Linked DNA regions of Macaca fascicularis. The protein of the gene in region 1 purifies or fractionates together with the protein of each later gene. This does not show direct contact. Links are inferred from orthologs where the notes say so. Each region holds a gene or a part of one and is shown on either strand. Other genes may lie near its edges.

Region 1 (3,752 bases):
TCCTATTCATGATTATTTTTAGGAAAACTACCAAGCAGTCTACTGCCCAAGGAAAAAAAATGCAACAAAAAATTAATACCGAACATTTAAAAAAAAGTTAAAAACCTAGAAATATACTTGCCACCCCAACACCTTTTTTCTGCTGTAGTTCTTTGCATTTCACTAGTTTCTTAGCAACCGTATAGCACTCAAGTGGGTAAGCACACACAGAACAAGAAAAAACACCATGCTGGTTTTTTTCCTTTAAGATCTAAAACCAACTGTACCTTGTTACTGTACCCTGTAAAGAAACCTTGTTCTTCCAACCTAAGAATCACTTAAGACAGGGGTCCAATTTAGATAAATATACCACCCTAAAGGTCAGTGACCAAATTTGGTCAACAAGGGTGCCATCACAGCCGTCATCATTCTTGTCACCGTCAGGAACAACTGTCACCTTGCCATTACCAGGAAGGGAAAGCAACTGGAATATTCCTTTTGTAAGTTCTATTTACAGACTACAAAGAGTCCAACATCATCTTAGTATGATCTTACAACACGGTAACAATGGAAGAACCCAAAACATTAAAGGCTTCCCAGTGAAGAACTTTTTGATATTAAAAGCTGATAAACCACAAGAATTTGTAAGACCATGCCACACTCTGGGACAACTCCTAATTGCATTATAAATGTCAGGCATCTATTTTCTGAATATTAATGGCTTCAAGTGTTTTGTTCGTAATTTTAAAATGCCCAGATTGTTTTTAAACATGGAGACACAGCTTGTAACTCCCAATATGTTTTCACCCAATGGACACCATTTGTTTTCTGATTTATCTATGGAATACTTTCACCTTTCTGGGGGAAAGAAAATAAATTTTTTCATACTTACAAAAGATATACATGCTGCCAGTAATAAAATCCTAACTAGCAAGTCTTCAAACTGCTCAATCACAAGTTCCAGCAAGGTTTTTCCTGTAAGAAACAAACACATGTGTTGTAGCTGTCATCTTACCATCAGCACACCAAAAGAGGGAAAAAAAAATGTTAAGATTACCTTCTTCAGCCGGTAACTCTGTAGAATGTAGAAATTCGCCAGGCAATGTGTCAAGAGGGAGGTTAAAAAAAAAGAGAGAGACATTTTAGCACTCCGTCTTTCTAAAAAGAACTGCTACAATTCTAAGCATCAGTATCTTCAAAACACAGACCTAGCTATAGGAATATCCAAATTTTTTTTAGCAGAAGGTATACTACAAAGATATCTCAAGAAAGCATGCACTCTTTGTAATCAATGGCCTGAGGTCTAGCCCTAAGCGTGAAATCACTTAGGGCTCCTGAACCGAGGAGTGGTTTCAGCGATGTCATCACTTCTGCCAGATGTGTAACTGGGTAGGACAAGAACGGTCAGAGGCTTTCCAACGACCTCGACGCCTCATAAATCGGCAGGGGACGAGAAAACGTCTTGCCGGGCTCAACCCAGCTGCAGGAGCCTCGTCCCTCCCTCCACCGGGACCGGCTGCTGCTGGAGAGAAGCCTCCGAGCCTTGCGCGCCGAGAAGATCCAGGGCCCGAGACGCGAGGAGGTCCAAGGAAGGCGAGGCGAGGCGAGACCCGCAGCCCCTTTCTCCCCTGCGGGGCCGCCGCGCCGGCCCGACCCTCCGCCCGCAGCCGTCGGCTGGCGCGGAGCCGAAGCCCACGAGGTGGAGCCCGGTCAGCCATCTTCCCTGGCTCTCCGGGCCGCGCCGGGCCCCTGTAGCCGAACGCCCGGCACCTACCGTTGGAGCCCCATCTCTCCTTGAGCTTCTTGACCTGCTCCAGGCTCAGCCCCGTACTCTCGTTGACGCCGAAGTGGCCCAGCACCTCCTCTACCGTCTTTGTGTGCGCGTTCTCCATGGCTTCGGAGGCCCGGCCGGCCTCGCCTCCCGTCCCCGCGGCCTCCTCGCCTCCGCCTCGCACTCCGGCCGCGGGCTCGTGCCACCCCGGGAGCCCAGGCGCGGACGGGCGCTCCCCTCCTCCTCCTGCGGCTGCTTCCGCCTCGCCGGGCGCTGAATCACCCCGCGCCCCCTCCCCCAGACAACCGCCCCTCGCGCGGCCCCGAGCTCCGCAGGGCGGGTGGGGGGCTCCTGACCCTCCCTCCCCTCGCAGAAGGGAGGGCCTCCCTCGCCCTCAGCCGCCCGCGGGGAGCGCAGGCCGCGGCCCCCGAGCCCCCTCCCCGTTCTCTTGAGGCGATCAGAGGCCCCGCCCGGGCCGGAGGAGGGGGCGCCCGGCCGACCTCCGAGAGCGGAACGCGGCAAGGGAGGCGAGCCGGCGGGGCGGTGCGCGGCAGCGCTCGACCGGGTCCCTCAGCTCCGCACGCACGACAGCGGCGGAGGAAACTGCGGCGAAGGAGAAGGAGGTGGCGTCGGGGACGGCTCCGCGGCGGCTGCTCTAATAGCATTTATCGGCCGCTGCCTCCCCTCTCGCCGCCGCCGCGGCATGTGGACGCCGCTCATTGGCCGAGAGCGCCCAGCGCGGCGCGGGCGGCGCGGCCCCGCCCCCTCCCCCCGGCTCCCTCCTCCCGCGCGCCTGGCGCCCACGCTGCCGCGCAGGCCCCGCCCCCTCCCGCGCGCCGCCCCTAGGAACCCGGATCGAGGCCGCGCGCGCCGCGGTCCCGGGGTTGGCGGAGGGGGAGCCGGGGTCCCTCCTAGCTGCGTGCGGTTCTCTGGCCCACCCACCTGCGGACGCAGGGTGGGGCGCTCACAGTGCGCTCGCTGCTTTGGGGCCGGTGGGCGGATGGTTGGAAGGCGAGGCCGAGGAGCTTGGAGCGCGGTCCACGCGGGGCGTCCTCGAGGCGCGCTCGGGCTGGTTGGTGTCCTTGGCTCGCCTCCTCGCCCTCGGTCGCCCGGGCTGCGCTCTGCATCCTAATCTGTCTCCTTCGGAGCCCCCCTCAGGAACCAAGGGGAGGAATTCCGCAGTTCCCTTCCCACACAACCCAAATCCTTCATCTGTCTCCTCGGGAACACCGCATCCCACACCCCCTGCCGCCAGCTCCTTCGCACGCCAGCCCCGATTCTACCCCAGCGGGTTCTGGGCCCTGACGAGGGAACCCCCCTCGCGGGGGGGGAGGGAGAAGAGTTGATTTTATTATTAATAGCTCACGCAGCGCTTGTTAGGTGTCTGCAGGGCAGTCACAGGTCACACCGCTGGAGCTGCCACACAGCAGCTAGACTTGGGCTAGGAGGTGCTTCGCTGTGGCTTTCAGATGAAGGCCGGTTCATAGACTCACTTCCCTCGACAGGAGAAAAGGGGACTTGAATCCAAAGCCTGCTGTTAAGCCACGGATGATTTGCTCTGCTTGGAAGGACGAAACGCAGGTCACAGCGAGATAAAGGGAATTTTGCCAATATAAATTAGCTACATTACTTAACAAGGGGATGGGAAATTGCATGGAATTCATGAACAAAACATTAATATATTCGCTTCACAAAGAAAAGCAGCTTTCTTCAGGGAGTAGGTTGCAGAATGAAGCATTTAGTCCACTTTTGTGTTTAGCAATAATACACCATCCACATGAGCAAAAGCAGAGCAGAAAAATCACCTCAGTTGTCTCAAGTGGCTAGGCTTCAGGACTTAAGATAAATTCCTTCAACAGGTGCAAATTACAGTGCATCAGCAGCTGAAAAAAATGAGGCACGTCATGTCATTTAATTATTTCCAAGGAGTGGAGGTTGGCATGTAGTTTTGATTGATACTTGGAAAAGAAGCAACAAAACCCTACACGAAACAAACAAAAAT
Region 2 (3,737 bases), on another chromosome or scaffold:
AAGCCTCATTAACTGATATGTAACTGATTTGGAATCTGTAATTATTTCTTTTTTGCTATAAAGTTGCCCTTAATACTGCATCTGTTTATAAAAAATTTATTAAGATTGTGTAACAATTTAATGCAACTGTTTAAAAAAATCTTAAATACTTAAAAGTAGCATATTGTTATTTTGGGGGGGATTATATGTATCAGTTTAAATATAAGAATTACCATTCACAAATATATTGTTAAACTGCTAATTGAAGAAAACACAAATGAATTAAATACATTTATTAGTTCTTTAACTGTAAGATAAAAATCATTTTTTAAAACAAAAAGCAGTTACTAGCCTGATTTCCTCATACACACTCCTTCTTCCATACACACAACAAAATAAGAAAATAGGTATAAAATTTGATTGTGTAAAAATATTTCACTATTGTCTTGTTGAAAGCTAACATTATGAAGACGTGGTATTAAAGCAACAGCAGCAAGAATTCAATGAAAGTTGTTTTGCTTATACTTGTGTTTATTTTTCTCATAATTAAAATTCCTGTAGTAACTATTTTGGCTCTTCAACATCTTCACCATTAATATTCAATTATCTCTAAGCCTGAAGATGCATGAATCTTTAACAAAAGCTTTCTACCACCTCAAATTTACTTTGTTTTTTCATTTATCTGCCATATACTGTTTTAAATTAGAAACAAAAGATGAAGCACAAAGTGTTAATGACTTTTCCATACCTAAAGTAAGAAGTTCTAAAGTTTGGTTGTGCTGAGACTAAGACTATGGCTAACCAATCGAAACTTCAGAATTCCTATGTGACATCATAAGACCTCCCTAGAACACTTTTTCTCCTCCACCTACTGCAACTGTTCCCATAAACCGGGTGACAGAGTCAGAAAACTCCCCAGCTAAATACCCATAAGACTTCATACAACACAATACTCTATATTGTGATGATCACAGCAGCCAAGGTAAGAAACAGATTTCACTGACTTTGGTAATTCTTACTTTCTGTAATTCTTTAATTCCTATAATTTCTATAATCTGAACTTTTAAGATAAGTTACTTTTATTAATATCAGTTCAAACTTAAGCAATAAAATGACATGACAAAGTGCTTAAATTTATAAATGCTTATCCATTTAGTGACAGTAAAAATGAGACAACTTTGAAATGAAAAAGGTCATATTCATCTTTGATCCTGGTTATTTGTTTGTCATTTTAATTTAACTTTCACTTTTATTTTGCTTTTCAAATGTGAATTTCTGCCAATTAAAAAAATCTTCCAATTATGTTACCATATTTGGCAGCAGTGGTTTAATTTCTCCACACAAAAACAATGACTTAATTTTGTTATTTATTGCTCTGCTGAGAAACAGTGCAGAACTGAGTTATTTACATTTGAACTAATATGAATAGTCATTTGACTACAAACATGCATATTATCAGCATGCCTACTGCAATATCATCATAATTTCATACAGTGAATAATAATGAAATGGAGCTTAAGAATATATAATACAAGCTACTTTTAAAGTGCCCTTGAGGATGTTTCCCCTCTAAAGTCCAGTCACCTTTTAAGAAACATTTCTAAAAATTCCATGCTGTTAATAAATTGAGTTACTGATATTAAATTCAATATTGTATCATAAAGAAGTTTAGAAATTTTAAAACACTTTTCACAAACACACAAAAATCTGTTAGAGAATAGACACTTTAAAAAGTTATTTTGACACATGAATATTCTTAAGTATCTTATTTTCACACAAATTTGATTAAATGGATTTCTGCCTATTAATGCCTATAATTTTGTCAAGTTATTATCCTCCAGTGTTACTCCATTTCCTCTCTGAGATTTAGAAAGACAGGAGAAAATAAAATAAATGCCAGGAATGGAGATGCCACAATCAATTTTATGACTTCCGTTTGAATTCTACCCTATTCTTTAAGTTACAATCCTCAATTTAGTAAATGAAACGTTTCCTCATTCTCAGATCTCTGTCAGGGCTTACAGAAAATTACATATATTTTATTTATTTTAACTTTCATATTTTATATATATGTTAAAATTTACCTCTAAAATTCTCAATTCCCATGACAAATGTTAACTCTCTTGCTCACTACAAATACGAACTTTGTAATTCTGTAAGCGGTTTTCCTTAAGACATACAAAAACATAATTTTTGTCTACCATTGAGGTATCCTAATTGCATCTCCATATCTCTATACTCATAATTTTCCTTTGCTATTACACAAAAGTCATTCAGTGTAGGTGTCTTATATGCTTATTTGTGCATTTTTATTCAAATATCAAATTACATTCTCACACTTCAAATTGGGTGTTCATGAGTTATTTTATTGTATCAGAATTTCGCTTTATCACATATTGCTCTAAAAAGTACACAACCTCTGGATAGAGCAGAAATTCTATTAAAGTTACCCTTAGCTCACTAGTATGTCTCAGTTAACAGAAATTCCAGTTACAGAGACCGTTAAAATTTCAAACATAATGTGGTAGTACCATACATTATGTCCCAAATAGTTCATCTATACCTTAAGTTGCCAGTTAAGTATTGTCTTTGTTTATGAAGACATGTGGTTTAAAAATAAGTGCTTAAAAAAGTGTTAGATGAAATAAATGGGAAAAATATAAAATGTTTAAATTAAGAAGTGTTAAGTTTTATAAACACATGAAAGAGTCAGAGTACATGCTTTACTAAAAGGCGTGACAGCACTATCATTTCCCAAAATCAAATATCAAATCTATTTTATTTGTATTTTAGTAGGCATAAAGGAAAATAATCGCATTTGGGTATATAATCATATCTTTAATTAGCGAGATTAAGAAACAATAAGAAAATATTGCATAAACACAATGGTTTCAGAAAATTTTAATGTATTTTAATGTTTTAATGTACTAATTACACATGTAATACTAAATTATGTAATATATTAAATTTTTAATTTAAAAACAAATTTTAAAGTCTAGTTACCTCTCTAAATTAGACAATATATTACCAATCCCAGAAATGAGGGGGGCCAATTAAAACTTCTTCTTAAAGAACAATTTCCTAATGTACTGGTGTACACAAATATTTTATTTGGTCCTCTTAATTATATATTTGATACTGCATCCCTATTCTACAATTTAGGAACGATGCAAAAAGGTGAACTGCTCAAGATCACATAACTAAGAAAACAGGGAAACCTTAGCAGAAGTTTAGGTTTTGTCACTAAGCCACATGCACATCCTCTATATATTGACCAGCATGGCTTGAAGTAAATTGTGACACTGATAAACCAAATTTGAAAGCCCCCAAACACTGTAAATGATACTCTAAAAGGCAAATTCAGAGAATACAAACTTCTATTTTAATTTAAAACCATTCCATTTCACTTAAATTCAATTTGTACATCAGGCATTACATTCTTAATAGCCTAAATTATATTCTACTGATCATTTTCAAAACCAGAAATATACGAACATTACAGATGTCCTTAGTTGTTAAGCAAAATAACTGCAGTTAGATAAAATTCAAACTAACTGCACAGACTTCAAAAAACCGTAACATATCCCAATCAATCAAAGTTTCCTTTTATTTGTTTCATTGCTAAAATACTCATGCCTTCAATTCATCTGATACCTAAAATCCAAGTTAATATCTCCTCAAAACTTTCACAAAAACCACATTTCGATACTTTATTCTAGGTTCCCTTTTAAATCCTCAGTCCTCAGCATTCCTCAGTT
Region 3 (3,652 bases), on another chromosome or scaffold:
AAATACAAAACTAGCCAGGTGTGGTGGCACATGCCTGTAATCCCAGCTACTCAGGAGGCTGAGGCAGGAGAATCACTGGAAACTGGGAGGCAGAGGTTGCGGTGAGCTGAGATCGCACCATTGCACTCCAGCCTGGGCAACAAGAGCGAAACTCCGTCTCAAAACAAAAAAGAAAAAACATACATAGCCAGGCACGGTGGCACATGCCTGTAATCCCAGCCCTCTGGGAGGCCGAGGCTGGTAGATCACTTGAAATCAGAATTTTGAGACCAGTCTGGCCAACATGGTGAAATCCCATCTTTACTAAAAATACAAGTATTTTTTGTAGTGGTGCCCGCTTGTCGTCCCAGTTACTTGGAGGCTGAGGCATGAGCACAGTGGTGCACGCTTTTAGTCTCAGCTACTTGGGAGGCTGAGGCACGAGAATCGTTTGAACCCGGGAGGCAGAGGTTGCAGTGAGCCGAGATCGTGCCACTCCACTACAGCCTGTTTGGGCGACAAAACGAGACTCTGTCTCAACAAACAAACAAAAAACCCACAAAAATTAGCCAGGTGTGCATACCGACAGTCCCAGCTACTTGGGAAGCTAAGGCGGGAGATGATCGCTTGACCCGATGAGGTGGAGGTTGCAGTGAGCCGTGACCTTACCACTGCACTCCCACCTGGGCAACACAAAGAGACCATGTCTAAAGAAAAGAGGTCAGGCGTGGTGGCTCACGCCTGTAACCCAGCACTTTGGGAGGCTGAGGCGGGAGGATCACCTGAGGTCTGGAGTTCGAGACCAGCCTGGCCAACATGGTAAAACCCCGTCTCTACTAAAAATACAAAAATTAGCGGGGCGTGGTGGCACACACTTGTGATCCCAGCCATTTGGGAAGCTGAGGCGGGAGAATCACTTGAACTTGGGAGACAGAGGTTGCAGTGAGCCATGATCACGCCACTGTACTCCAGCCTGGGCAACAGAGCCAGACTCCATCTCAAAAAAAAAAAAAAAAAAAAAAAAGGGCCAGGCGCGGTGGCTCAAGCCTGTAATCCCAGCACTTTGGGAGGCCGAGACGGGCAGATCACGAGGTCAGGAGATCGAGACCATCCTGGCTAACATGGTGAAACCCCATCTCTACTAAAAAAAATACAAAAAAGTAGTCAGGCGAGGTGGCGGGCACCTGTAGTCCCAGCTACTTGGGAGGCTGAGGCAGGAGAATGGCGTAAACCCGGGAGGCGGAGCTTGCAGTGAGCTGAGATCCGGCCACTGCACTCCAGCCTGGGCGACAGAGCGAGACTCCATCTCAAAAAAAAAAAAAAGCAAGAAAAGAAAAAACATATTTATATAAAAACCAGTACATGGGGCCGGGCGCGGTGGCTCAAGCCTGTAATCCCAGTACTTTGGGAGGCCGAGATGGGTGGATCACAAGGTCAGGAGATCGAGACCATCCTGGCTAACCTGGTGAAACCCCGTCTCTACTAAAAAATACAAAAAACTAGCCGGGCGAGGTGGCGGGCGCCTGTAGTCCCAGCTACTCGGGAGGCTGAGGCAGGAGAATGGCGTGAACCCGGGAGGCGGAGCTTGCAGTGAGCTGAGATCTGGCCACTGCACTCCAGCCTGGGTGACAGAGCGAGACCCCGTCTCAAAAAAAAGAAAAAAAAAAAAACCAGTACATGAACATTCATAGCAGCATCATTCATAATCACAGACAAAAAGGAGCAAACAACCTAAATGTCCACCAAGGCAGGATAAATAAAATGTAGCATTATCAAACCAGTAGAATTTATTCAATCATAAAAAGGAATGCAGTACTGATACATGCTTCAACACAGATACACCTGGAAAACACTGTGCTAAATGAAAGCAACTGGACAGAGAAAGCCACATACTGTATGATTCCATTTATATGAAATGGACAAAGTGGACAACTGCAGAGAGGCAGAAAGTAGGTTAGTGGTTGCCGGGAGCTGCGGGGAGGAAACAGGGAGTGACTGCTTAATGGGCACAGGGGTCTTCTTAGGTGATAAAGCTAGTTAAGGTATATAATACTGAACAAGGCTAAGTCCAAATCTCATATGCACCAAATATACAAATAAACTTGGCATTTATACTAGTGCATTATAAAAGTTCAGTTATATGTATCTTACCTTTCAAGGAGGAAAAAGATCATCTAGAATTTAATTGCTGGGCATAGGAAGATACTTTTACAAAGGGTAAGAATTTCTTCAGTTTCTGACATTTCTGGAGTCACTGTATGGAAGCTGGAAGCTCAAAGATAGCCATATACAAGAATCCAGCCCCAGCTATCTTAATTTCTCCTCACTCTTCAATGTGCACCCTACATAAAAGGCCAAGTAATTTCTCCCTTGGATGTCAAGCTTATTGCTGCTCCTCTACCTCTGCATATGACATTCTTCAATCAGAAACACCCCTTCCCGTATTCACCAACTCCTTGACTCTCACCCCTTTCCAGCTACTCTAATAGTTTCCCTACAGATTGGACTGCATCATGGATTACTGAAATTATCAGAGCTCACTCAACCAACATTTGGCTGTTCCAGCCACACGGAATATGTGAAATGCTTCCTTACACTTGAAGACAGGTCCCCAAGACTCACCAGTCATCTGGCTTGACAGCTTCTGGATCTGGGATTTTTGGTCTTTCATCCCAATCCTCGGGCTTCCGGTCTTCTGGGTCCTCAATTTCACGTGAAGGATTTACAGGAGGAGTCATGTCATTGAGCAGATTTCCACTATTCACCACAGATTGGTCAACTAGTATTTCAAAACTATTGTCTGGATTCAAGACTGAAAAAAACATTAAATGGAATTAAAAGTACTTAATTTCCCAAGCTCCCTTTACCATAATACAAAAGATCATGACTTCTAACATGAAGCAGCAGAACAGAAGTATGACCTGAGGCTTTGGGGTAAGAACAATGCCTGGTTCTTGGGGTCTTGGGCAAGTTAGTGCCCATTTCCTTATGCAGAAAACATGAATGCTTAGTTCCTCAGGTTTCTAAGAATTACAGCAAATGATAGTTAAAATCTTTAACACTAAAGATTTTACTTATAGACACTAAAAAAAAAATAAATCAAGAAACCTTAATAAACTAACACGATTATTGGGCTTACACATATATAACAGTGAGCAGACAAATTAGTGGACTTATAACTACTTCCCAGTACAAAAGGTCCATTTCTTTATTTCTAATAGAGCTGGTATTATTACCACGTCACTGAAATTACACAAACCTCTAATTTATTAAAACGCATGTCCACTCATGGTTCTCCTTTTTAACTCCCATGGAGAATGAAAAAACAAGTTTAAATCCATAAAAGCTTTTTTTATAATTTAATTTTATTTTTTGAGACAAAGAGTCTCGCTCTGTCTCCCGGGCTGGAGTGCAGTGGTGTGATCTTGGCTCACTGCAACTCCTGCCTCCCAGGTTCAAGTGATTCTTCTGCCTCAGCCTCCGGAGTAGCTGGAACTACAGATGGCCCCATGCCACCATGCCCAGCTAAATTTTTGTATTTTAAGTAGAGATGGAGTTTTGCCATGTTGCCCAGGCTGGTCAATCCGCCTAACCTCAGCCTCCCAAACTGTTAAGATTATAGGGGTGAGCCACCATGCCCAGTCACATGGGCCCCATAAAAGCATCTTAAGTG

What was found.
Region 2: the proteins of ATP2A2 (region 1) and PLN purify together in Homo sapiens (affinity purification with western blotting; 4 studies listed by BioGRID). This does not show direct contact. The link is inferred for Macaca fascicularis from reciprocal best matches to the Homo sapiens genes ATP2A2 and PLN.
Region 3: the proteins of ATP2A2 (region 1) and CANX purify together in Homo sapiens (co-immunoprecipitation; 3 studies listed by BioGRID and IntAct, with this or other methods). This does not show direct contact. The link is inferred for Macaca fascicularis from reciprocal best matches to the Homo sapiens genes ATP2A2 and CANX.

What each region holds. Positions count from the first base shown.
Region 1 is NC_088385.1:117,152,003-117,155,754, reverse strand, and holds the start of ATP2A2 (sarcoplasmic/endoplasmic reticulum calcium ATPase 2), read right to left. Parts: upstream 2,393-3,752; 5' UTR 1,872-2,392; coding exon 1,754-1,871; intron 1,055-1,753; coding exon 1,037-1,054; intron 955-1,036; coding exon 872-954; intron 1-871.
Region 2 is NC_088378.1:22,485,353-22,489,089, forward strand, and holds the start of PLN (phospholamban), read left to right. Parts: upstream 1-864; 5' UTR 865-961; intron 962-3,737. UniProt on the Homo sapiens protein: Reversibly inhibits the activity of ATP2A2/SERCA2 in cardiac sarcoplasmic reticulum by decreasing the apparent affinity of the ATPase for Ca(2+).
Region 3 is NC_088380.1:186,589,075-186,592,726, reverse strand, and holds part of CANX (calnexin), read right to left. Parts: intron 2,792-3,652; coding exon 2,602-2,791; intron 1-2,601. UniProt on the Homo sapiens protein: Calcium-binding protein that interacts with newly synthesized monoglucosylated glycoproteins in the endoplasmic reticulum. It may act in assisting protein assembly and/or in the retention within the ER of unassembled protein subunits.